7 linked regions of the Xenopus tropicalis genome follow. The protein of the gene in region 1 interacts with the protein of each later gene in a pairwise test. Links are inferred from orthologs where the notes say so. Each region holds a gene or a part of one and is shown in the gene's direction. Other genes may lie near its edges.

Region 1 (3,949 bases):
CCCTAAATCGGGTGAAGATAAATTAATTTGGCAGTCTTAATGTGTATGGCCATCTTAAGACTTTGGGGTTTGTAATACACTACTAATCCCTCCCATCCCTGACCCACTCTGCTGCTGCATTCCCCCTTTGAAGGATTGTCCTGCCTATGCCCCACTCATTTCACCACCCCGTGTAACATCACCTCCTAGTCCCCCCACCCGAAGGCCAATTACAAAAAAGGTGACAACTCTAGCGTGATTTTACCACCTTTATTCTGGTCCACATTGGCCTGATCCTCTCACTTGGAATACTATTTACTTGTGCCCCTGGCCTGCACACTTAAAACCTTATTCAAACCAATTTTACCTTTCCTTTGTAGTTAATCATAGCAGGCCACCCCCAGTTTATTTAAGACACTGTCCAGACCTTGTACATCACTGCTCACTGGAAACCCTACCCTTACTCCCCCACGCAATTTTCCCCCTGGTAACATGCAACGTACTGCTCTGAGGCAAGGTTCTCATCTCACCTTTACTTATGGCAGACGTGGCACATGGGAGGCACTCAGGGGTGGCCAATATATAGGTAAATATGTTGCCAACTCGGTCTGTGGGTCTGAATTTGCAGCTTAGGCTGCCTCTGCATGGCCAGCTTTATGTAATAAGCATCACCTCATCTATGTGGCTGTATTTTGCAGCAACTGTTTTGTAGCAAGCAGTGTGATGACAAAGTGGATTTTGTTTTGTAGACACAAGCTTAAAAAGAAAATATAGAAGCTATTCGATCTAAACAGCATTTCGTCCTAATTCTATCTGGTCTAAAATTCTGCCATGGTTTCAGTGCAATCCAATAGGCAATTTATTAACAAATACGAAACACACTTAAAAATCCTAGTAGTCTAAACTACTGGGCCACGTACTGTATGTTTTTCAAAGTATTTATACTATTTTGCTCTTTTTTATCGACGCATTTACCAATCACTGACATCCTAACCCGCCAACTAAATGGAAGGTAGTGAGAAATAGACGTGAACATAAATGAGAATTGCTGATTGGCTGCGAGACTTGACGTTTCCGTGCAGCTCCGAGCGCAGTGACGTAGTTGTCACCGCCTCCCTCCCCATCTTTTCAGTGCGGCGTCGCTGGTTTCTGAGTAACAAGCCCCGAATAAAGATGGCGGCTGCTGGTTCCAGTGTTATAAATGACTGCTGTTAATTACCTTCCTATTTTAATTTAATACAGGCATAAGTTGTCTTGAATGTTCAGCCGCGGTCTGACCGCTAGTCTTTGTGTCCATCTGCCCCCCTCGTCTCCCTTCACTCTCCCGGCTGCTGCATGTCTGCAGCTGAAAGGGGGCGTTTTACTGATCATTTTCTGACTTGTCTGTGCAGCACCGTCAGGTACCTGACCTACTTCAGGTCCAGGAAGAAATCCCTGCACTACTGCAAGATCAAAGAGCCCAAACTGGAGGAGATGGATGAGCAAAGCGTGGAGGTGAGAGAGGAGGGGGAGAGCTCTGGCAATCAGAATTGTCACATATGTAGGGTTACCAGACCACCCTATACATTTTGGTGTGTCCTTCTTCCAAAATATCTGTCAATTGCATTTAACAATTGTGAGTGGGGTTTTGTACCCTGGTTTTGGGGCTATTTTTATATTAGATGCTGAAGTTTATTATTGCTCTTAATTTAGTATTCAGGAGGGATATTAAGATTAGAAGGTGTCTGTCTCCATGGTCCCAAAAATAAGGTTGGGCCCCTGAAAAAGATCCTCCATATAAGCAAATACACTTGTAAGTGTAAAATGTATCACTTCAAAAATTCTCAAAATTCTTCATGCAAGTAACATACTTAGATACATTTTATCAAAAAATCAAGTGGGGTACCAAATTTAGTTATTCATATAATAATTGCAAATAGAGTAGAACCCCTGTTTTATGTGTTTGGTGTACATTCAGGGAAATGTATTATATATATATTGGGGGGACCACACAAGAAGAAAAAAGGAAAAAATCCCAGTGTAAAATGAGGGACAACTTCAAATCAGGGTATGTCAGATTGAGGTTTCACTATAATGTATCTCATCATTAAGAGCTCCGTTTCCTAAAATGGTATAAAAAAAATAGAACACCGTTGGAAACCAGAAATCCTGTGTGCTTGTTTAAAAATGTTACCTTCTCTCCTATTATTCAGTATGGAGCTTTCAGTTTAACCCATGTGCATTGTATACTACTTCCAGTTCCGCATGTAACGTGCATGCCCTGCCCAAACACTGTAAAACCCCCATTTTACATTGTCCAGGTAAAATGGTGTAAAATCAGCCAAATGCATTATACATTTTATATTAGTGGGACCTCAAAGTGTAAAATGAGGAAAAAATTTAATTTAGGGTAAGTGAAATAACAATTTTTTATTTTTTTTGGTCTTGATGTGCATGGCTCTGTCATCTTATATATTTCCTTGTCATCTACACCAGGGCAAGTTGGACAGGACTGTTCCTCAGTGTTATATATTGTCTTATTTGTGTTTTGAACTGGGCTTTACATACAAACTTTGTCCCATTATAGTTACACAGCACATTTTTAAACACATACAATTCAGTATGGTCATAACTAAATGCCAGGGAAACTCTTAAGACCCCAAAAATTCTGCTTTTCACATTTGGTAATGTTGACCATACAAAGTTTAGTATTGACTGGTGAGTCTGTTATGCCTTTGTGTGCATATTAATGGTATGTATATGGGGTCAAAACTATGGTTTCCTTAGCTTATTACTGATTGAAAAAATCTGTTATGAGGGCACATCAGAATGTGGGTGTGCTCTACTCCCAAAAGGTTCAAGATGTCCCCTGTGTGATCTTATCATTGGGCCACATCAGTTTATATTGGCCAACTAAAATTGGTAAAGATTCTGTATACTGGCATGGTCCCCAAACAAACTAATCTGCCTTTGTATGACCAACTTTATTGTGGTAGTGGACTCCTCCTATTTTTGTGTATATTTTTTGTTAAAATCAGTCCGTGACTTCCTCTTGAATTGAATGGTTGGTTTTATTTGCTTATTTTCTTTAATACCTGTCCAGACATATCATTACAAACGTTATCTTCACAAGAATATTTGTTGTAATTACATTTTGTCATTTGGTGTATGGGAGTGAGTAGCAAAAAGTGTGATGACTTTACATGAGTGTTAAAGCTTGTTCCAAAATTTTATTTATTAAAGTTTGGTTAATACTGAACAGCAACATTTTTCTTTATAGTTAGCCTGTGTAAACCTGTCATAATAGGAATGACTTTGTTTTGCCTAATGCTTGGACACCTGTAAACACTTGTGAAAACCTAAATCAGATGCTCCAATAATTACATGTTATCACAGTCAAACATTAGCCATTATGCTAACCCAACAGAAGCATGTAAAAATTAAGTACATTTTAAAGGGAAAAAATGGGTAATCCCTGGGGTAGTAATGATTAACTCAGACCCCAGGTCAACAGCTGGTCTGGGCTGTGCTCAAGCAAAGTAGAGTAAATTCAGAAATGTTGGGAGTCTGTTGCAGTTTTATTTCTCTAATTATTGCAACAGAAAGACCATCTGCATTCCCTAAAGGGTATACTAGAATGCCATTCCTGGTGGTAGCAGCCAGCTACCAGCACATAATCATATTCTTTCATCTGCAGTAGAATTGGCTGCTGTTAAGAATTTCACTGCCACTGCAGTTGATAGGTTTAACACTGATATTGATTTTCTCTGTGTAGCAGGTCAAGTGCAAGTATGGGACCCATTAACCAGAAAGTTCCGAATTACGGAAAAGGCCATCTACCATAGACTCCATTTTAAGGAAATAATTCAGATTTTTACAAAATATTTCATTTTTCTCTGTAATAACAAAACAGTACCTTGTACTTGATCCCAACTAAGATATAATTAATACTTATTAGAGGCAAAACAATCCTATTGGGTTATTTAATGTT
Region 2 (3,500 bases), on another chromosome or scaffold:
CAGAACCCACAGCGGGATAAATACAGTGCCAATTCCATGTATAATACCCCAGAACCCACAGCAGGATAAATACAGTGCCAATTCCATGTATAATACCCCAGAACCCACAGCAGATAAATACAGTGCCAATTCCATGTATAATACCCCAGAACCCACAGCAGGATAAATACAGTGCCAATTCCATGTATAATACCCCAGAACCCACAGCGGGATAAATACAGTGCCAATTCCATGTATAATACCCCAGAACCCACAGCAGGATAAATACAGTGCCAATTCCATGTATAATACCCCAGAACCCACAGCAGATAAATACAGTGCCAATTCCATGTATAATACCCCAGAACCCACAGCAGGATAAATACAGTGCCAATTCCATGTATAATACCCCAGAACCCACAGCGGGATAAATACAGTGCCAATTCCATGTATAATACCCCAGAACCCACAGCGGGATAAATACAGTGCCAATTCCATGTATAATACCCCAGAACCCACAGCAGATAAATACAGTGCCAATTCCATGTATAATACCCCAGAACCCACAGCAGATAAATACAGTGCCAATTCCATGTATAATACCCCAGAACCCACAGCGGGATAAATACAGTGCCAATTCCATGTATAATACCCCAGAACCCACAGCGGGATAAATACAGTGCCAATTCCATGTATAATACCCCAGAACCCACAGCAGGATAAATACAGTGCCAATTCCATGTATAATACCCCAGAACCCACAGCAGGATAAATACAATGCCAATTCCATGTATAATACCCCAGAACCCACAGCAGGATAAATACAGTGCCAATTCCATGTATAATACCCCAGAACCCACAGCAGGATAAATACAGTGCCAATTCCATGTATAATACCCCAGAACCCACAGCAGATAAATACAGTGCCAATTCCATGTATAATACCCCAGAACCCACAGCAGGATAAATACAGTGCCAATTCCATGTATAATACCCAGAACCCACAGCAGGATAAATACAGTGCCAATTCCATGTATAATACCCCAGAACCCACAGCAGGATAAATACAGTGCCAATTCCATGTATAATACCCCAGAACCCACAGCAGATAAATACAGTGCCAATTCCATGTATAATACCCCAGAACCCACAGCGGGATAAATACAGTGCCAATTCCATGTATAATACCCCAGAACCCACAGCAGATAAATACAATGCCAATTCCATGTATAATACCCCAGAACCCACAGCAGGATAAATACAGTGCCAATTCCATGTATAATACCCCAGAACCCACAGCAGGATAAATACAGTGCCAATTCCATGTATAATACCCCAGAACCCACAGCGGGATAAATACAGTGCCAATTCCATGTATAATACCCCAGAACCCACAGCGGGATAAATACAGTGCCAATTCCATGTATAATACCCCAGAACCCACAGCGGGATAAATACAGTGCCAATTCCATGTATAATACCCCAGAACCCACAGCAGGATAAATACAGTGCCAATTCCATGTATAATACCCCAGAACCCACAGCAGATAAATACAGTGCCAATTCCATGTATAATACCCCAGAACCCACAGCAGATAAATACAGTGCCAATTCCATGTATAATACCCCAGAACCCACAGCAGGATAAATACAGTGCCAATTCCATGTATAATACCCCCAGAACCCACAGCAGGATAAATACAGTGCCAATTCCATGTATAATACCCCCAGAACCCACAGCAGGATAAATACAGTGCCAATTCCATGTATAATACCCCAGAACCCACAGCAGATAAATACAGTGCCAATTCCATGTATAATACCCCAGAACCCACAGCAGGATAAATACAGTGCCAATTCCATGTATAATACCCCAGAACCCACAGCAGATAAATACAGTGCCAATTCCATGTATAATACCCCAGAACCCACAGCAGGATAAATACAGTGCCAATTCCATGTATAATACCCCAGAACCCACAGCAGATAAATACAGTGCCAATTCCATGTATAATACCCCAGAACCCACAGCAGATAAATACAGTGCCAATTCCATGTATAATACCCCAGAACCCACAGCAGATAAATACAGTGCCAATTCCATGTATAATACCCCAGAACCCACAGCAGGATAAATACAGTGCCAATTCCATGTATAATACCCCAGAACCCACAGCAGGATAAATACAGTGCCAATTCCATGTATAATACCCCAGAACCCACAGCAGGATAAATACAGCGCCAGTTTTTCTTTATTTGTAATGTTTTTTTCATTTCTCCTCCAGGGCCGCCTCCTCATTTTATACAGCAGCGAATCAGAAGGCTGAACTGCCCCGGCACCATGACTGCAGCCGAGAATGTGTGTTACACTCTCATTAACGTTCCAATGGACTCGGAACCTCCATCCGAAATTACTCTGAAGGCGGACTTGGGTGAGGCCCCTCCCAACTCCCCTCCTTACTGTGCATTAGTACCTAAAGGGGTTGTTTACCTTTGAATTAACTTTTAGAACGATGTAGAGGGTGCTATTCTGAGACAATTTGCAATTGGTCTTCATTTTTTTTTTTATTTCCGGGAGTTTATTAATTTTACTTTTTGTTCTGCAGCTCTCTCTAGTTTGGAATTTCAGCAGTTTTCTGGTTGCTATGGTCCAATTTACCTTAGTAACCAGAGAGTGACTGATATATAAATAGGAGAGGGGCTGAATAGAAAGATAAAGTAATAAAAATTAACCATAAAATTGTAGCCTCACAGAGCAATATTTCTTTGGTCAAATTCCAAGCAACTTTTCAATTGGTCTTCATTATATATTTTTAATAATTTTTGAATTATTTGCACCTTTTTTCCTTTTTTTTTTTTTTTTTTTTTTTTTTGCAGCTTTCAAATGGGGGTCACTGACCCCGGCAGCCAAACCCTATTGCTCTGTGAGGCTCCAGTTTTATTATTATTGTTACTTTATGTTATTTATTTTGCTATTCAGTCCCTCTCCTATTTATATATCAGTTTTTCAGTCAAGCGTCTCCATGGTTGCTAAGGTAATATGGATCCTAGCAACCAGAGAGCTGCTGAACAAAAACAGAAATAATTAAAAAACTACAGATAATAAAAAATGAAGACCAATTGCAAATTATCTAAGAATATTATACTCTACATCATACTAAAGGTTAAGAGCAGGGTTTCCCAATGCATCACTGGATACGGGGGGGTACACGTGAGTAATTCTCTATTCCCCCCCCCCCCCCCCCTGCAGAGAAAGGAGATGTGAAATCCAAGACGGAGGCCCTGAAGAAAGTGATCATCATGATCCTAAATGGAGAGAAGCTGCCGGGGCTGCTGATGACCATCATACGGTTTGTGCTGCCGCTGCAGGATCACACCATCAAGAAGCTGCTCTTGGTCTTCTGGGAGATTGTGCCCAAGACCACGCCCGACGGGAAACTCTTGCAGGAGATGATCCTCGTGTGCGACGCCTACAGGAAGGTGAGAGGGGCGTGGCTTTAGCGGTGGTGGGTGACTCCCAT
Region 3 (3,500 bases), on another chromosome or scaffold:
TTAAGATCAACAGCTCTTTGTGAAGGCCCAGAGGGTCAGTAACTCTTAAAGGAGAACCAAAGTTTAACAAAGAAGAAGGGTAGAAATCTTGCATCAGTACAGTTAGAATCCAGATATTTTTAATCAGCCCTGTAGCATCATCTTATGTCACAGACTAAAGGTGGCCATACAAGGAGTGGGCTTGTACAAATGTGCATACTTCAGAGTCTGTACATGAGTAAAAGTTCACTCATATGATATGCGAATGTCCTATTTTCTCCTATCACAATTATATAAATTATTCCGCTTCATTCCCCCCAACAGAAAAAAGCTACAGACCCTAATAGGTTCACAAATCGAGGGGGCAATCTGCTGAAAGAAGAAAAGCAAAGGGCAAAACTGCAGAAGATGCTTCCAAAGGTATGCTGTTTGCCAGGCGCATACACTAAACCTCTAGTGATATTATCTTCTCCTTGTTAAGTACTTTCATAAACATTTCTAATGTTTCTAATGTCTTGCCTGTTTTGTAGTTGGAAGAAGAGCTGAAAACGAGTATTATTGCATGGGAGCAAGAACAGGGACAGGAATTCTTTGTAAATGAGAAAAAATTTATGGACTATGTTGCAGAACAATGGGAGACTTTTCATCAGGATAAAGAGAGGGAGAAACAAGAACGGGTAGGATTAAAAGGCAGCCCTACGAAATACATTTCACTGTGGAGCTGCAGAGTTTTGTCTCTGAGGCCAGTTCTATGCAACAAGCCAAGCCACTGATACCATGTAAGCTGGGCTGAAACATCTTAGGCTCTGTGCTGTTAAACCACCCAATATTATATTAGGGCAGTCTAACACTTCTGTGCTCAGTCTGGCAGAACCACAGTGTTGTCCTGTGCCCTTTCTAAAATTGTGAAGCTATCATACACATAGGGGCAGATTTACTAATCCACGAATCCGAATCCCGAAAGGGAAAAAATCGTATTGGAAACAAACATTTTCGTCGCCGCTGCCGCAATTTTTTCATATTGAGCGATAGTAAACGGAAAAACCAATCCGATTTTTTCGCGACTAAAAAGTTGCGGAAAATATATGAAAAAGTCGCAACGGCGATGAACAAATTGCGGGACATATGAAAAAGTTGCGACGGCGACGAAAAAAATCGCAGAAAATACTGATCATTGCGAAAAAAACGTATTTGGACGCCTTCGGACCGTTCGTGGATTAGTAAATCTGCCCCATAGACTTTATGTCCATAAGCTAAAAGTTAAGGCTGAATGTGTGATTGACATCATACTATGTATCCATCCCAAACATATTGGAGGGATTCATTTACCACTGTTACTTTGGTATTTGTCTTCCCTTAGCATATGTGTTATTTAGAATTTTTATACATTCCTGTTATTATAGCTAATGAAGAAGAATCGGCAGCTTGAGGAGGAAATGTATTATGGCAGTGCACCAAAAACCCCTAATAAGAGGCGAGTGCCTGGACCCAGTACACCTAGTAGTAAATGTAGAAAGGTATGTATTTGGTTTTGTTTTTTTGTTTTTTTTTTAATGTTCTTAAATGATTTGCATACTGTCTGCAGTGAGATGTAAGAAACGAAATGAAAATTAAAAGGTTGCATGATATGGAACAAAGCAGTTCGCTATTTAAATTTTATTTGAGGAGCCAAGTTTTACGAAAATGTTGTATCTTTACTCAGATCACACAATCCAGACCATAGGTCATAAATGTACATTTTTTCATGCTCATCTGATCATTAAAGTGCCAATAACACAAGTGAAATTATTTATGTACATTTATAGATTACATCTGTCTGAAAATGAAATATTTTCTAGCAGCAACAGCACTTTTTATAAGGGGAGTTCTTCCTGTAGACCTGATGAAAGCTTTGAATAACACATGACCACTGTTCATAACGCATTTGTATTTTGAGCAGTTTCTCTGGCATACTTCTGCCCTGCAAGGCTCATAACAATTGTGCAAAAATCTATATTTTTTGGATTTGACCTAATTGCGAACCAAATCTGTGGGAACAAATGTGAAATTTTAGAATTTGGATTGGGTTCAAATAAAACCAAGGTTTTGATAGAATTCAAATTTTATAAATTGTTAGAATGTGATCTAAAACTGAATTCAGTGCATCCCTACTTAGTTATATTTTTAGGAAATGCAGTTTAATCTTTGTACTAAAAAGGCTAAACATCTCTTTATCACGTAAACTCTAAAACATTGTCTTTTTTCTGTAATACTATGCTGTCTTACTTTAGATACAAATAATAATCAGAATATGGTCTTAGAAGTCAACATAGCAGCATTTTTTATAACCGTTGAAGTGATTAACACCATTTAAGCCTGAGTAAGAAATTTACTAAAACAAGGGAAATATCATAACTTTCTTTTCAGTATTTTAAATAAAAAGGTATTTTACTCCTTGCATGGCTTGGAGCTGGGGTTACTCAGCAGGCAACATATTCATTACAACGAATACACTGCATACATGACAGTGAAAAAACTCTATCCATAGATAAGCATGACTGGAAATTGTTGATAGTATTTCCAATTGCTAGTTGGTTTGGCTTGCATGCTAGACAAGCAAAATATTTGTTTTACTGATATTTTTTGTTTTCCCTACCTTTATCTCTGTGCATGAATGATATTAACTAAGCATTGTTAATGTTTTAAAGTACTACTTTGTATCTTGCTTGAAAGCCACTGAAGTGCATGTGCATACCCTGGCATTAACTAATAAATATTAACATTACCTGCTTTTCCCGGCAGCTTAATGGCACCTCCATCTCCAGTTCCTCCAACAGCACTCTGCGCTCTGCATTCAGTGGGACGATGTGCCACTCTCCTGTATCTCGTCCACCCGTGTGTGGTGGCAAGGTTAGTTAATTCACTAGACTGTGCTTTTGTAAATTTTTATTTCTCCCAAGCAATTTTATTTACATCTGATTTGAGTTCTGTTTACTGCACAATGTAAGTGCACAAACATTTGTAGATGTTCATTTGGCTCAAATGCAGATAGAATGTCTGTTTTGTTTTTTTTTTCCCCCTTTAATGTATGCATGTTGTATTCGATTTTAGGAGCGTTGCATGTTATGGGTAAAAAGTGCTAAGCTTTCTGTATACCCATATCCAAAGCTGGAAATAAGGATGTCCAACTGGAGATTCAGGGGTCATAAATGGATGCAAATCTGCCCAAGGCCTCCATAGTTCCTTATACTGGATAATTATTTTATCATTTTCAGACAATCAATCACTAGATATGTTGTTGACTAGGTGGAATACTGATCAGCATATAGTTTGTTCAATATTTTTTTTTTTTTCTTTCTCTAATCAGCCCGGATTACCATCACGAACTCCAACCAGAGTGTTCAAAACCCCACAGCCAAAGCGGCTAGAGAAGAACAAAGAGAATATGTCCCAGTTGAATGGAACCGCCATGAGCGGTGGGTGCTACCTCACAATTCCTGCTCAACGTAACATCAGCGTTAACTCTGTTGCAAGCACCTATT
Region 4 (3,500 bases), about 65 Mb from region 1:
CTCTGCTGGATGAAGACATCTATAATGAAATCCAGGTGCTTTTAATAGCGATTCTATATATATATTACTTGTCATGTTAGCGACCTGATTCCATGGATAACACAGCTCATTGCCAGCAGTAACCATACAGTGGCAGTGGAGTGCTTTGAAATATGGGGGATAAAGGAGAAGGCTGCATTATAGTTTAATGGTGTAGATCAATAAATTGAGCAGACTAGAGATGCCTGTAGCTTAAGGTAAGGCTGGGGATGGGTAAGACAGGTGCTATTTAAGCAGTATGCCGCTTTCTAGGTCATACAGATGTATCTGCTGCTTCTTCACCATTTCATATTTATTCAGAAAATACAGAGGTTGTACGATTCTTACATCTGAGGGGCACTGCTATTTGACAATAGTGCTCAAGTTCAAAAGTATGGCAGTTAAAACACCAGCTTGTAACTTACCCCCTTACCAGTTGCATAAACATTCCATAAGCAGAAACAGCACAGTTCCATCACATTAAATATGCTGACGTTTTACATGGTAGATCCCATTTCTAATAAGCAACAAGAACCAATATATTAACCTAATTTCCGGAAGATAAATGAAAACGTGCAGTTGACTTTTATATAAATAAAGGCATATCTGGTTGTTTATGTTCTAAAAGTAAACCTTGTTATTGCTAAAAGAGCAAGTGGCTGCTTCGTCTCTCTCTAGGTGTTCCGGAAAGCCTTGGTCAGGATGTTTGAATCTAAAGGTCTGGACTGTGTCTTCTTGGAGTCAAACATATATGCAAGAAAACGGTTGCATTTGGTCTATGAGTGCATTCCTCTCCCAAAGGAAGTGGGTGATATGGCACCAATATATTTTAAGGTAAATTATCAACTTGCATTCAATTATTAGGAGCAATAGACGGATATAAAGAACCTCAGGTTTATAAAGAAATGAGCCACAGTGCCATGGGAACTAGTGAAGAAAGGTAATAGGGAATTTTTCCCAAAGTAGCCAGATTAAGGGGGTAGTTATGTAAAACAGCATAATAAGATCTAGATATAAGGGTTTGTCATTGTCCCGTCTAATATTGCTTTCTGGGAATGTGGGCATGATAATTGCAAGCTCATTCATTTCATCTGCAGCCAGATGGTGACAGAAGTTGCCAAACTTTAAAGCTGTGTGGTATTCACTCTCTACAACAGTGACAAGCTCTTGCAGATAAAGAGCAAATAGCAACCTGTAGCTATTCTGAATTTCTGAACAACTACTAGCTATTAAAGGAGAAGGAAAATCAGTTTGGCATTTTACTGCCAATAGATTTGCCACATTAGTGCTACTATATTTATTCTGCAGAAACCTTTACCATACCTGAGTAAACAGCCCTAGAAGCTTTCTCTGTTTGTTTAGGAGAGCAGCTGCCATTTTAGCTCAGTTTCCGTAACTGTAGCTGCTGCAGCTCTAGGGGTTGGTAGCTCAGATCACATATTCCTAAGGGAGGGGGAAGCAGGAGAGGGAAGAGAGCAGACTCTGGCCCCAGGAACGAAGGATTTTTCTGAGAGAGGAAATCAGATACCCTAAGAACATGTTTACAAAAAAGTAGACAAGAAATCCTGTGTTTCTTTTGATAGAGGACTCAGTGCAGCATTTCTGTGAGTGCTTATGGCTGTATTTACATAGACCTTTCCAATAAAGCTTACCGTACTTAGTTTTTCCCTTTCTTTCTCCTTTAAATGATACAAACGAGTCATGAGTGAATAGAATAGTTTGTATATAAAGTATGACTCCAGGGGTAGATTTTACATAAGACAGGTGGCACTTCAGTTTATGGTCAGTTGCTGGATGACCCCCCATCCTCAAAAAATGGTGGTGACTTGAGTTGAAATCCTATGCCCAAGCCACATGTGCCTCTTGGAAGCAAAGGAAAGATGGCACTATGCTCTACAGGCCAGTAAGTGATTATGGAAGAGTCAGATAAAGTCTAATTAATGTCACTTACTTACAACAGAAAACTTCTGTAAAATTCACAGGCTACTGGATTATCAGAATCGACCTTTCCAACCTTTACTACTGTACCTTGTCCAACTGTATCTTGGAATAACTAAACTCTGAAAATGAGCCAACGTGTTTCATTCTGGGATCAATAAATTGCCATGACCAATGAGAAATGGCAACAAACTGCACTGTTTGGTCTCCTTACTTGTATTTTTCTCTAAAAAATCAAATGTTCATTAGGAAAAAAATGAACCAAATGAGACTACAAACCCAATCAATGGAATAAGAGTTTGGAGTAACAGTTTAATGGCCACTTTACCTTGACCAGTTTAATACATTGTGTTGTTTCATTCATTTGACTGTTAAGCTCACAGAAACATGTTCCCTTCACACCAGCTACAAACCCATTATAAGAGATTTATGGGCAGATATTGGAGTCACAAATCAGCGGCAGTGTATCCGTCAGCCAACCTACGATGAATTGCAAATTTACTTTAAATGGAGTGTCGTCAATATATCAGATGTTTTTAATGGTTTATACTTTCCAGTTTCGTTGAACATTTGGCTGATAGAGCCGGGTATCACATACATAACGCCCGAAGGTTTCCATGTTACCATCCAGCCGTACATTTAGCCCATTTAGTGAATTCTGGTTCCTTTCAGAAAGGGCTTATTTGCTGATTTTTTATTCCATCTCCCATGTTAACCAATGTATTCATGCGTTTATTTTCATTAAACCAGAAAGCCATAATGGAATCTGATGAGGAGTGGTCCATGAATAAGAAATTAATAGACCTGTCTACAAAGGATATTCGAAGAGCTGTAAGTTTAAAAAAGTCTAAACATTTTACTATCCAAGAGCTGCCATCCCTCTATATTTCCCATCTTTGTCCTCATTATCACATTGAGACATTTCTATGTGATTCTCTTGAAATGAGCACACTCATACTTCTGTTATATGGTGTAATATGGAGGCTGGAGTCTGTTAGAATGTTACATATTCATGTTTTCAAGACAAGGGAGATCAAGATTTATATGGCTTTTTATGGCAGATTTCCAAAAGTATTTAAAAATATGAAACAATAACCATAGTATTGGCTATAAATCAATTGAAGGGTTATGAAACTGAGCAAAAATCAGAGCTTCAATGCAAATCCACAGGCTAAATTGGAAATACATGTATTCCCTTTGTGTTTCCATTGGGGGAGAACCCAAGCATACATAGGCATTTTACTGTTCTGACTAATGATGATGATTTATCTGCTTATATGTTCCAATACGTCTGCTTCTCAGAGCCCAATGTTACACAACAGAGTTTCCTATCATTGCCTGGCTGTAATTATATCTGGCATAATCCACTTTAGAATGTAGCTTAATCTGCATGTATCTAGTGTTTAATCCCCCGCTGATTTCTGTGTGATCGGAACATAGAAATTGGATTTATTTTTTCACTTGAGCTCAGACTTTAAGAGGTCACCAGAGATAATTCTGGATATCCTTGGAATTGGGGTCATAGCCATAAACTGGCTGGGGAT
Region 5 (4,227 bases), on another chromosome or scaffold:
TCCCGATTTTAGTTTTCCAAGGTTGGAGCCAACATGAGGCTGCAATGGAAAATATAATGTAGTTGGTAGATAAAGGGTAACACAGGGCTGGAAAGTGGGGGGAACCAAGAAAAGCGACTTTTTTATGTTACAAAAAAGAGTTCAGAGCTTTATAAACAAAGTTATATATTTAAATTTTTAGTGGGAAAAATATACTTTATTGACATTATACATAATTGTGGTGTTGGGCTGCCAAATCAAGCAGGACTGATACACGTGAGAAGTGCCACACAGCCATGCTGGGGTTTTTAGTTCAACATGTGTATTAAGGACATAAGCCCGGGATGTGAGGCAGGTGTGCCAAAGGTCCCCATATCTATAAAGCAATAAAGCTGATCTGTACTTTATATGTAAGCATTTCCATGCCTGGCTTGTTTCCTTAGGTTGCTAGGTATATGCAGTACTTAGTAGCAGAGCTAAGCTGGTCATACATGTGTATCAATACAGCTCTCATTGTGGGCCAATGCTTCTGAGAAGATGTGTGGCCACTTTTCAAGGAAATATCAGTCAGCAGCCTGATTGGGGGATGCCATATTCAGGCCAATAAGCTGCCGACTTAACCAGAAGGGGTAGAGTCAGAGCCTTTATCACTTGTGTATGGCCAGTTTAAGCCATATCCTCTGCTACATGGCAGCTCAGGTCCAGTGCCAGCCAGTAGGTGCAGTTGGTTGCAAGTCTGATGTGCATTGTGATAATGACCTTATTATTGATAAAAGCAGATATGTCGGCTATGCATGTGTGGGATCAAAATGTTAGAGATAGCCCACATTGCTCCCTATGAGTGTGTTTTCCCAAAAAGCAGGAAAGAAGGGTCATCATAGCCATTTTTAAGTTTTTAAAGTTGTAATGTGTCTCACCATCGACATAGGTACTCAAGAGGATAGGCTCAGGCTAATAAACAGTTAAGTGTTTTTTAAGAACCACTGGCTGCCCAAGTTTTCGCCTTTTCCAATCCTACAGAAAAGGCCCATCTGAGATAGTCCTGTGTAACTCACATTCTACTGGGAGTTGTAGCATGATAGTAACAGTTTAGCTGTGGCTTGTCAAGGGACAAATGGCAGGGTTAGATTATTGCCCTGAAGAAATGGAGCTAGCTGATGTCTCTGCTAAACACAATAGTATTTAGTCCTGATAAAGTCCCTAAATGTAAAGTTCATTGCTGGTTATTTGAAGCTGGGGCCAAACAAGTGAATACAATGCCTAGCATGGCCCTATCCAAATGCACTGTATTTTGGAAGATGAGGGTAGATGGGGAGGTGAGAGACATGATGATACTAAATATGTCAATGAAAGGCTTACAGTGATTGACAAGAGGGCCCTGTTCACTCTGTTGACTGTGTATTTTTGCACCCTATAATCCTAATTATAATTTCACAGAATCCGTGGAAATGAAGTGTTACTTGAGAAGCGTTGATGCAAAGCACAGTCCCATTGCCCTTCCTGATGGTAAAGGGGTCACTTTAGGAAGAGGACCAGAAACCCTTGTAACAGACAGGAAGTGTTCTAAGACTCAAGGTAGGGACCCATGTAAAAAATATATTGCTGGTGGAAAGGGTTTTCGGGGAGATTAGTCACCCGCGGTAGCAGAGATTAACCTCAGGTGCCTAAAAGGCTTTTCTTTAGAAAGGAAAGGGCCCTTTTATCCCTCAGTACAAAGGCATTGCAGAGGTAATTGTCTTCAGACCCTCCTTCATCACAGTGTGAGGGAAGGTCTGGCTTAATGGTAGAGCAGGGGCATTCCTTTACCTTATGGCTATGGAGGGTTCCTTTTCCTTGGTATCCACCAAAGCATCACCCAGGGCACAAATGCCTCAACAAAGTACAGTAAGTAGTAGGGAATCTACTCTTGACCTGTGGGACTGGAACACTTGTAGCACCTTCAACATCCTTGTGAAAAAAGTGGTTTTATGAATAAAAAATAAACATTTTAAAAAATGCTCTTTTCCAGTGGAACTTGTGGCTAATCTGGAGAACAGAGCAGTCCATGTAACCCAGGTAAGATACCTACTGTATTGGAGATGACTGATAATTGAAGCTCTATACAGCTTATTTCAGTGTAACTACTTTATCACTATCTGAAGCAACCAATCAAATGCAACACTTTGACTAGAGCATGTATCCCGGGTGACTTAATTATTTGTGTGTCTTTGACCAATGACCATGTATGTCCTTATCCAGAATCTGGCACTAATGACATTTGTTGTATGTTTATAGACTATGTTTTAGTGAGTGTAATTAACCTGACTTCATGTTTTTACTTATAGTTGGGTGCAAACCCTTGCTCAGTTGGAGAAGCAGTGCTGAAGAAGGGAGAGAGCATTTTAATGAAAGAAGATCAGACGCTTTTTTTGGTGAATAGGCTACATCCATATACTGTAATGTTTAAGGAAGATAGTCCTAAACCTGCTGCTGACACTGGAAAAATCAATAAGAAATCACCAAAGAACACCATAACTGAACCCCCTTCCACATCATCCAAGAAGACAATAACAGATTTCTTTGGGGCCTCCACATCCAAAGGAAAGAGGCGCATACAGCACGATAACACTTCCACTGGATCAAGCAACAAGAAGCCAAAGTACCAGGACCCAAAAGCTGAGGCTGGAGAAGAGTGGGATGACTCAGAAGAGGAGGAAATAGCACGCAAACTGTCTCACTTGCAGGAAACGGCGGCTAAAGCTAAGCCAAGCGAGAACCCATCTCAGGTTTCTTCAACTGATGAGAGAGGAGTTGCCTGTAGCAAAGATTCCTGGGAAGAACATGGGAAGCTTCTTCTCTTTAACAAGAAAGGGGTTCAGGCCAGTTCTAAGGTATTAAATCCATTAGTTTTCTGTTGGGTTTAAGGGCATATATAGGTCTTAAGCTGGCCTGCATGTGTCAATAATAGCTGCCAGCTTGGCCCCTCCAAATCAAGACCACTTATTCGTACATGTATGGGGCCTCTTGATATACGGGATAAGTATCTATCAGGCTGGTTTGAGAAGCCCATCCGATCAGCACCACATTGCCATGTTGATACATTCCTTACCATACTTTTCTCACCCAGGTCTCGTAAACCAAAAATTATATCAGCTTAATTAGGCCCAGTGAGTGGGTGACAAAATCATGCAAAGATCTGGCCAAACATGCAGTTCTTTAGGGTACTAGTAGCATCAACTTATCACGGCTACTAAAACAGACAATGCTGATGGTTTACTGATAAATGTCTCTACATGTGTTTTAGCAAAGGCAATTCTCAGTATTGTCTATGGCACGGTATATTCTGGCATTTACTAGCTATGATTAGTAGCTGCTACTAGTAGCTCCGTGTGTCTTTACCCTCAAGAACTGCATGTTAGGCCGGGTCACCCTTCACCCTTAAGTGTATAACCAGCTTTAGCACGGTAGCTTCTAAACAAATCTTTATTGCAGTCTGTAAGCCAATGAGTTGCACTCAGAGCATACAATGTACAAAGCAGCTATAAATCACTAACTTGTTCATCTTGCAGATTGCTGGGTTTGATATTGACGGGACAATTATAACAACAAAGTCAGGAAGAGTCTTCCCTGTAAACGCTGATGATTGGAAGTAAGTTAAAAGGAAATAAAAGCGTTCATTTTATCTCGGCATTTAAGTCTAAAACCTTTTAACACTTTTATGGGGGGAAGTAATTAAAGGCACTATGGAAAAAATAATCACAGGGCACAAAATGTATGCCTTTATGCGAACAAAATTTCCTTTGCGTGAATTTAATGTAGCTTTTGGGAGCCTGGAAACTGTTTAGCATTCACTTTCACCAGCAAGTAATATGGCAAATTTTATTGTTTGCACCAGTGCACAGTGTATAATTATGTTTCTCTTGATCTCACAGAATTTTATATCCAGAGGTTCCCAGGAAGTTAAAAGAGCTTCTAGCCAATGGCTACAAGGTATGTCTTCTGGAATTTTATGTGGGATTTATAATTCCTGGCATAGTGTGTGACATTGCCATGCTATTTAATCAGAGTTCTGCATGAAAATGTTCTCAGCACCAGTAGAAATCATTTCTAAGCAAGTGCTCAGTGGCCATGCATAGGAAACTGTTCCTGGACACAGCACATGTAAGTTAACTCCTTTATTCCCTAGCTCCAAAACATAAACAAAAAGGCAATGGGGTGAATCCCGGTATTTTGTCGCCAGCATGATGCCCTGCTAGAAATTGTCCCTCT
Region 6 (4,023 bases), on another chromosome or scaffold:
TGCTTGCAAAGAATCCTTCTGGATTCCCCAGATTGAACTGTAACAAATCAGCCCTCTTATCTGAAGAAAAAATATATAGCGGAGCACCACGAGGATAAAAATAAAAATCAGTCTTTATTCCATCAACAGTAAAAGGTACATCCATTGGGATGTACATGTGCCTTTTACTGTTGATGGAATAAAGACTGATTTTTATTTTTATCCTCATGGTGCTCCGCTATATATTTTTTCTTTATATTCTATTTCCAGGACCCATCTGGGAGCGGGTCTACATGTAGCACACTTGGGCTGTGTGGTAAGTGCTCCTGTGTATCATTGTTCTTTTTGTGCTCTTATCTGAAGGATCTGTATTCAAGTACTAGCTACTAACATCAGTACTGTTTGCAAGATGCTACCCAATCTGTTGTTAAAAGGAGAAGGTAAGGTATAATCACAGGGGGTGCAAAATGTTAGACACCCCAAGTGATAATAAATACCTGAGCCCCTGGGTTAGTGCTAATGTTTGGTGAAACTGCACCTGCCCAGGGGACTTCTGTAAGAGCATCTCATCATGAGCAGCCCCAGCCAGGGTACATATGTGCAGTAGAATGAAAAGCTTTTTGCTTCTAATTTTATTTGTGTGTGAAAGGGGAGATCAAGAATAGAGAAAAAGATGATAGCATGGCTGTACCACGTGCCGGTGCAGTTTTTCGGTGAGCAAGAGCACCAGCCTGTGGTATAATGTTAGCAATTACAATCACTGGGGGGGGGGGGCAGAATCACTGGCTTTGCATTAGAACAAAGTATTACAAATTGGAGCACCTTTTCCACATTAATGCAGCTGACATAGACAGGCATATAAAGGCACAAAGTGCAAAGGACTATATATATATTTGTAACAAACATACTTTTTTTTTGTTAGGGCTGTTACACACAAGGATAGTGTAAAGGGGAAGCAGACCTTGCAACTGCTGGGGACCAGGATGGTAGAGGGCCCAGCGGGGCTCTGATTGAAAAGCAGTTTCAGTATAAGTTTATGAAGATTTTATGTATTACCAAAGTTTAGTGGGAAAGGGGGTGCAAGTAACTTCTAGTTAAGCCAGTGTTACAGAGAAACAAAAGATTTTCCTAAAATGTTACCAAGTCTTCAACTCTATTGTGAATCCTTTATAGTGTAGATGAGTGGGAGGGAAGAACAGTGTGGCAGCCCATGCCATAAATTACTATCTCACAATTGCTCAGACTCTGCTTTAGTTGCTGCTGGAAATGGTGGGCTTCTTCCCAGGAGAAGTAGTACTGAGAAAAGGTCAGGGCATTCATTCTCCTTCTGAGTACAAGTACAGCAGCACAGAAACGTTCCTCTTCAAGCAGCAGCCAGCAGCCAGCCATCACACAGAGCAGGTTAGTAAAGATTTACATCAGGCTCTAAGTTTCCCAACAAGAACAGTCAAAATCTGGGGAATAGGCAAGATTGTGTATGCTTAACATCTGTGGGCTTTTTATGCTTAAGCAATTCACCCTATTTCCAGTTATGAAACTTACTTGTAAACTAATCTAAATATAGAGAATTGTATGCTAATGCAGAATCTCTAGCCTCAGCACTCCCTGTGTTTATACGGTGGGTTATGGGAGTTAAAGTTTATACTACGCAGTCTGGACATCCATCCTCCTAAACAGTAACTGATTTTAGGGTTCACAGTGTCACTGATGCAGTTTATATAATTTGTTCATATATAGATGGCAACTGTCAGTCATTGGACAGCAGCACAGTTTTACCTAGAATTTTTTAGACTGGCTAATACGGTACAAAACATTTCCCTTCTCTAGTAATACACTGCCACTTTGGGATCTCATAACAACAAAAGAACGGGTGGTATTATTTACTCAAGCCAATCTCCCCAGACTACAGTTCAGACTTGCAATTAAAGCTACAGGCAGCCGTATTAAAGTAGATGTGGAGATGAGAAGCAGAATTCAAAACCTTATGAAGAAATTCTGTGATCATTGTGATTGTTTGTATGATCAGATCAACAGTTTTATTCCAGGGCAGCAGCAATAAATAGTTAATGCAATGAAAATATGTTAATTTTTAGAACTATCTGCTTTTTTGGAAGATTGTGAGCAGACAGTTAGGGACTCTAGTAAAACAGCACCTTCTTATGGCTAATCTTTAATATGTATTATTCAAACCCCACCATCCCTTTTTTTGTAGTACCAAGAAATAATGTTTTAGCCAGATACCTCAGAACTGGGAATTATACTTGTTTTTCTCCAGGAAAAAAAAACTATCATCATTTAGTAAATCTTTTACATTTTGAAATGCTCTGAAGTTCACATTTACTGATGGGTGTAGACACAGATTTAGTCAGTCGCGTACAGCATACAATCAAAGGAAGAGGACTTTTCCTGAACAAGTAGAAACATTTTCCGGAAAGGCTGATTTTCCATTTATAAGTGCATTGAGTTGATGAGTTTGTGCAGATATTAAATCCCCATTCTTTATTATTTTTTAGAGCCACCTTTAGCTGTAATAGTGGTCTCATCATGATGTGGGGATGCTTTTTTGCTAGCAGGGACTGGACATTTTGAAAGAAAAGAAGAAACAATGGCTACTGCAAAAAACTGAACCTGTTTCATTCTGCTAATAAACTAAAGTGACAGTTCATCTTTCTGCAGGATAGTGATCCAAAGCATAAGGCTCCAAGAACTCCAACATGACCCAAGAACAAGATGGTCGACTCAAGGCCAGAACTAGCGGTAGGAAGGATAGGCACATTCTTAGGGTGTGATTGTGGGGGGTGCAGGCTGAGCATTGTTGGCGACTGGTGGAAGGGGAGTGACTGGCAGGTAGGATGTAAGGAAGCCAGTGAGTGACATCCGGGGGTGTGCATGGTGATGGTTGGGTGTGTGTTGCAAGGCAGGCTGACATTGCACCAGGCCATGTAGAAGTAGAACTATGGATAAGAGTGTTTCTGTTTTTACCAGTCACTTGGAGACACATAAGACAAGGTAGTCTGTAAAAAGGAAAAATGATATGTACATTTTTAAAACCTGTCCCTAAGGACCACTTGCAGCTCTCGAGAACTTTATCTAGAAGTATGAAAGCAATATTTATTTATTGAATATACCTTCTTTGCATGCAGAGGAAATTTTATATACTCCACCCATTTTATACATCTGTGCACAGGAGAAAAATATAAGGCACATTGATATCAGCCTAGGAGTTATTGATATAAATAACTGTGATCATTTCTTAAATAGTAATATACATGCAGCAATACTTTAATTTCTAAATTAACAAATGGGTTTACAAACTATAAGTGTAGATCAAATGGAGGGCTATGATCTGTATGGTATGTATTATGTACTAAGGGAGGAGACCACTCAAGCCTATAGGAAACATAGAGCTCCACATTTTGAGTCAGTGTTTTCAGTTGGCTCATACCATGCATATCCTGACATGCAACAGGAGGTCTAAAACATGCCACTTTTTTACATGTATTAATTGGTGCATTTACCTCCTGCAGCAGTCAGTATTTGTATGTAACACCCTTCCGTTTGTATAGGGCTGCAGAATATGTTTGTGCTTTATAATTAAATACTTTCTCTGTTTTTTTTTAACTCAGGAACATTTAAATGGATGAAAGACAAACAGTTTTGCCTCTCACTGTTCATCTTCTTGCCAGCTCGGGTGATTCGCTTGCCTTTCAACTTGCAGTTGACCGTCTTCTCCACAGGATATGTCCAGATGTCCGGTTGTTTCTTGTGTCGGAACGGGCTGCTCCCATTAAGCTGTATGAGTGCCAAACGAAAAGGCCTGAATTCCCAGGGATATCAGTGACACTCTTCCTGCGTGAGGACTTGGGAGAGGAAAGGATTGATCTCCTGCAAAGTTTTTTCCAGCTACCTCCATGGACTCATGTTATCGCAGACTTCCAGCAAGGAAGATCCTGCCCCTTTAAACTGCCGCTTTGTGATTATTATAGTCTTGATTCCCACATGCCTGTGTGGGAAATGAGACATGTCCATTATGGCACAGAAATT
Region 7 (4,223 bases), on another chromosome or scaffold:
GGGTCCCTATGAGGTTAGTGCAGGGGACAGAGGTGGCAGTGTGGGCCCCTATGAGGTTAGTGCAGGGGACAGAGGTGGCAGTGTGGGCCCCTATGAGGTTAGTGCAGGGACAGAGGTGGCAGTGTGGGTCCCTATGAGGTTAGTGCAGGGGACAGAGGTGGCAGTGTGGGTCCCTATGAGGTTAGTGCAGGGGACAGAGGTGGCAGTGGGGCCCCTATGAGGTTAGTGCAGGGGACAGAGGTGGCAGTGTGGGCCCCTATGAGGTTAGTGCAGGGGACAGAGGTGGCAGTGTAGGCCCCTATGAGGTTAGTGCAGGGGACAGAGGTGGCAGTGTGGGCCCCTATGAGGTTAGTGCAGGGGACAGAGGTGGCAGTGGGGCCCCTATGAGGTTAGTGCAGGGGACAGAGGTGGCAGTGGGGGCCCTATGAGGTTAGTGCAGGGCACAGAGGTGGCAGTGTGGGTCCCTATGAGGTTAGTGCAGGGGACAGAGGTGGCAGTGTGGGGCCCTATGAGGTTAGTGCAGGGGACAGAGGTGGCAGTGTGGGTCCCTATGAGGTTAGTGCAGGGGACAGAGGTGGCAGTGTGGGCCCCTATGAGGTTAGTGCAGGGGACAGAGGTGGCAGTGTGGGTCCCTATGAGGTTAGTGCAGGGGACAGAGGTGGCAGTGTGGGGCCCTATGAGGTTAGTGCAGGGGACAGAGGTGGCAGTGTGGGGCCCTATGAGGTTAGTGCAGGGGACAGAGGTGGCAGTGTGGGCCCCTATGAGGTTAGTGCAGGGGACAGAGGTGGCAGTGTGGGCCCCTATGAGGTTAGTGCAGGGGACAGAGGTGGCAGTGTGGGGCCCTATGAGGTTAGTGCAGGGGACAGAGGTGGCAGTGTGGGCCCCTATGAGGTTAGTGCAGGGGACAGAGGTGGCAGTGTGGGCCCCTATGAGGTTAGTGCAGGGGACAGAGGTGGCAGTGTGGGGCCCTATGAGGTTAGTGCAGGGGACAGAGGTGGCAGTGTGGGTCCCTATGAGGTTAGTGCAGGGCACAGAGGTGGCAGTGTGGGGACCTATGAGGTTAGTGCAGGGGACAGAGGTGGCAGTGTGGGGACCTATGAGGTTAGTGCAGGGGACAGAGGTGGCAGTGTGGGGCCCTATGAGGTTAGTGCAGGGCACAGAGGTGGCAGTGTGGGGACCTATGAGGTTAGTGCAGGGGACAGAGGTGGCAGTGTGGGGACCTATGAGGTTAGTGCAGGGGACAGAGGTGGCAGTGTGGGGCCCTCAGACGGACACACGGAGAGGGGAATGGGAGAGGGAGCCGCACGGAGGGGAGGGGGGGGGGGAGTTCTCTCGTATCACGTGATGCTGCTCTGACTGAAAAGCTCGGGCGGGGGGGGGAAGGCGCTGCAGTCGGTGCCAATGGCCGAGCCGGGAGCGGTACTCTCAGCGCAGCGGTAACAGCCACCCACCTATCCAGTTACCTACCCACCTACATACCCAGCTACATACCTACCCAGCCGGCCGGCATGCAGTCCCAGAGATCCTGGTTCGATCGGGTGAGGGTGCCGGACGCCCCCGCTAGCGGAATGCACAGAGCCATGCTGGTTAAGTCCGGTAAGTGGGTGCCTGGGAGTTACGGGCTGAGATTAGTGCGGGGGGGGGGGGGGCTCCTCTGGGCAAGGGAACTGCATTGCTCTGTACCCCCTGTGCCCTCCATCTGCCACCTGTGCCTTTACACGCACCCTGGCACCTACCCTCAGCTGTAAGTACCCCTCCCTGGGGCAAGTCACTGGCTTCCATAGAGAAACTACTGTAGGGCTGTGATTCCACCTATCTCTCATTTAATCTATCAATCATCTATCTATCTATCATCTCTCTATCTATCTATATCTGTCTATCTATCTATCTATCTATCTATCTATTTATCATCTATCTATCTATATCTGTCTGTCTATCTATCTATCCATATCTATCTATCTATCTATCTATCTATCTATCTATCTATCTATCTATCTATCTATCTATCATCTATCTATCTATATCTGTCTATCTATCTATCTATCTATCTATCTATCTATCTATCTATCTATCTATCTACCCAGTCAGTTTAGTGTGAGTGGCCCTGGAGTTCTGGCTGTTCAGCTGTTGTAATATAGATCTTTTTAGCTGTCAGGGGATGCTGGGAGTTGTAGTACAACAGCAGCCAATGAGACCTGCTTTTACTTCCCTCTGTACAGTCACTAGGCACCACTGCTGGATTAGTTGCCCCCCTGTAAGTGGTTCCATGTGGCAGAATGTCTCCCTGCCCCACTGCTGGAGGTGTTTATGTAACTGCCCTGTCATCAGCAATAGATTCTCCTTACTGTGCGGCATCGGCTGGATCTTATGAGTTGTCACAGAAACCACCTGTACGTATCCGGATTATACAGCCGGGGGATTAATTCTCCCTATAGACCTGGGGCATATTTACTAACCCCCCCCCCCCTCTCTCCGGGTCACTCGCCATCACAGGGAAATGTGTCTCTGCAGCAAAGAAGTCCATTTATTGCAACAAATAGACATATATATATATCATGTATCCTGCAGAATTTCCCCAATACGTGGGGTCACAGTGGCTAATTCACACGCTGATATTGTATTCTGGGTGAGGAGACTCTTCTGTAGGAGATTTATTATTAATAATAAGTGTATAAAGTGCCCGCATATTCCGCAGCGCTGTGCAATAGATGATGGGAAATGTAGTCCACTTAGTCATGAATTGGGACAGTAGAAAGGAGCCGTATGGTGTTGCATCTCGTACCCTCTCCGCGGGGCGCCGATCCCAATATGGGGGTTCTACGTATGGCGCCTTAGGGATTCACTGTACTTTCCAGAGGGAAATAGTGGAAACAAAGTTTCATATGTTCTTTTTTTGTCATAGTGTTTTAATTTATGAAGACTTCTACCTGGTTGCTAGGGTGCCTGAGCCCTAGCAACCTTATAGCAGCAGGTTTAAAACTAGATTTGTATTCTGGTATTTAAGTTAACTTTTAGTATGTTCTAGAATGTCCAGCTCTAAGCAATTGGTCTTCGTTATTTATTATTTATAGTTTTTGAATGATTTACCTTCTGTCAGCTGTCAAACAGGGGGTCACAGCCAGAAACAATTGCTTTGTGAAACTACAGTTTAATTATTGCTGCTTTTTAGTATTATTATTTTTTTTTTTTCTATTCAAGTTTCCTCCTATTTATATATCAGTCTTTTATTCAAACCACACCCTGGTTGCTAAGGTAATTTGCATCCTAGCAACCAAATAGCTGCTGAAACTCCAAACAGCAGAGATGCTGAACAAAAACTGTAAAAAAAAAAAAACTACAAATAATAAAAAATGAAGACCAATTGCAAACTGTCTCAGAATATTACTCTCTCCATCATGTTCCAGTTTTGACAGTTTAAAGAGGCCATAATCCCAACAACTTTTTCTTTCATTGGGCATTATTTTATTTTGGGGTTTACTTCCCCTTTAAACTTTTAATTTTGAGCCTTACATACAGGGTCAGACCCACAGCCTGTTACCTGGGGGGTAGGATTCACAAGGGGGTTTATAGGGGGGGGGTTAGTGATCTCTATCTGCCCCTCCCCAGCATTAACCTTTGCCCTAGGGATCAATAGTGATAGTGACACGATTTGGGGGGGGGGGGGGGGTTATTATTATTACAATCCGTAGCAGTGGTCTCTGTTATGCAGTGATTAGGGGGAATTTAAGTGGGATTAGTCTGAGTCTGACTGTGGAATTTAGTATTATAAAGTTAAATAACCTATGCCACCATCTCCCATAATCCCCTGTGAGCCACCACCTTGGGCACTGCATGGGGGGGTTTGGGTGACTTTGTAGCGCCCGTGGCTGGTGACTTTGAGACTCAGGTGTTCAGGGAACTCACAAGAAAAGCCGCATTCGACCGTCTGAAACCGGATTTTGCTGAAAATCCTGGGGATTTGGCCGAGTCTGAGAGGCAATTCCTGGATCAGAGAATTTCTAACCCCGTATAGAATTCCCACGGCTCAGGGGTATCATTGTACTGCGCTACATGGCGTGTTTATATCCCGCGACCCTGTCTGTTTGCTGTGATTATGGGCTGGCTTGTTATTCTACTGGGCAAGTTGTGTGTGAGCCATGGGGCAACTTGTACAGGGCAGCAGCTCATACACAGGCACATAGATAGGGCACTCACCCCAAATCCCCCTAACTGGCCTTCAGGCT

Evidence for each region.
Region 2: the proteins of trim37 (region 1) and copb1 interact in binary tests that used the Homo sapiens proteins (3 or more experiments, as listed by UniProt). The two-hybrid records come from large-scale screens. The link is inferred for Xenopus tropicalis from reciprocal best matches to the Homo sapiens genes TRIM37 and COPB1.
Region 3: the proteins of trim37 (region 1) and prc1 interact in binary tests that used the Homo sapiens proteins (3 or more experiments, as listed by UniProt). The link is inferred for Xenopus tropicalis from reciprocal best matches to the Homo sapiens genes TRIM37 and PRC1.
Region 4: the proteins of trim37 (region 1) and cwf19l2 interact in binary tests that used the Homo sapiens proteins (3 or more experiments, as listed by UniProt). The two-hybrid records come from large-scale screens. The link is inferred for Xenopus tropicalis from reciprocal best matches to the Homo sapiens genes TRIM37 and CWF19L2.
Region 5: the proteins of trim37 (region 1) and pnkp interact in binary tests that used the Homo sapiens proteins (3 or more experiments, as listed by UniProt). The two-hybrid records come from large-scale screens. The link is inferred for Xenopus tropicalis from reciprocal best matches to the Homo sapiens genes TRIM37 and PNKP.
Region 6: the proteins of trim37 (region 1) and fam124b interact in a two-hybrid assay, tested with the Homo sapiens proteins (2 studies listed by BioGRID and IntAct). The link is inferred for Xenopus tropicalis from reciprocal best matches to the Homo sapiens genes TRIM37 and FAM124B.
Region 7: the proteins of trim37 (region 1) and fam107a interact in binary tests that used the Homo sapiens proteins (3 or more experiments, as listed by UniProt). The two-hybrid records come from large-scale screens. The link is inferred for Xenopus tropicalis from reciprocal best matches to the Homo sapiens genes TRIM37 and FAM107A.

Annotation. Positions count from the first base shown.
Region 1 is NC_030678.2:95,237,447-95,241,395, forward strand, and holds the start of trim37 (E3 ubiquitin-protein ligase TRIM37), read left to right. Parts: upstream 1-1,149; 5' UTR 1,150-1,314; coding exon of another isoform or gene 1,315-1,452; coding exon 1,453-1,473; intron 1,474-3,949. UniProt on the Homo sapiens protein: E3 ubiquitin-protein ligase required to prevent centriole reduplication. Probably acts by ubiquitinating positive regulators of centriole reduplication.
Region 2 is NC_030680.2:3,437,592-3,441,091, forward strand, and holds part of copb1 (coatomer subunit beta), read left to right. Parts: intron 1-2,264; 5' UTR 2,265-2,320; coding exon 2,321-2,411; intron 2,412-3,229; coding exon 3,230-3,459; intron 3,460-3,500. UniProt on the Homo sapiens protein: The coatomer is a cytosolic protein complex that binds to dilysine motifs and reversibly associates with Golgi non-clathrin-coated vesicles, which further mediate biosynthetic protein transport from the ER, via the Golgi up to the trans Golgi network.
Region 3 is NC_030679.2:108,141,106-108,144,605, reverse strand, and holds part of prc1 (protein regulator of cytokinesis 1), read left to right. Parts: intron 1-303; coding exon 304-399; intron 400-509; coding exon 510-656; intron 657-1,382; coding exon 1,383-1,496; intron 1,497-2,760; coding exon 2,761-2,868; intron 2,869-3,325; coding exon 3,326-3,500. UniProt on the Homo sapiens protein: Key regulator of cytokinesis that cross-links antiparrallel microtubules at an average distance of 35 nM. Essential for controlling the spatiotemporal formation of the midzone and successful cytokinesis.
Region 4 is NC_030678.2:160,240,233-160,243,732, forward strand, and holds part of cwf19l2 (CWF19-like protein 2), read left to right. Parts: coding exon 1-35; intron 36-696; coding exon 697-852; intron 853-2,706; coding exon 2,707-2,787; intron 2,788-3,500.
Region 5 is NC_030683.2:117,566,168-117,570,394, reverse strand, and holds the start of pnkp (bifunctional polynucleotide phosphatase/kinase), read left to right. Parts: upstream 1-1,427; coding exon 1,428-1,554; intron 1,555-1,987; coding exon 1,988-2,034; intron 2,035-2,303; coding exon 2,304-2,849; intron 2,850-3,527; coding exon 3,528-3,607; intron 3,608-3,890; coding exon 3,891-3,948; intron 3,949-4,227. UniProt on the Homo sapiens protein: Plays a key role in the repair of DNA damage, functioning as part of both the non-homologous end-joining (NHEJ) and base excision repair (BER) pathways.
Region 6 is NC_030681.2:123,829,070-123,833,092, forward strand, and holds the start of fam124b (protein FAM124B), read left to right. Parts: upstream 1-1,223; 5' UTR 1,224-1,380; intron 1,381-2,655; 5' UTR 2,656-2,736; intron 2,737-3,605; 5' UTR 3,606-3,615; coding exon 3,616-4,023.
Region 7 is NC_030680.2:147,931,170-147,935,392, forward strand, and holds the start of fam107a (protein FAM107A), read left to right. Parts: upstream 1-1,423; 5' UTR 1,424-1,596; intron 1,597-4,223. UniProt on the Homo sapiens protein: Stress-inducible actin-binding protein that plays a role in synaptic and cognitive functions by modulating actin filamentous (F-actin) dynamics. Mediates polymerization of globular actin to F-actin. Also binds to, stabilizes and bundles F-actin.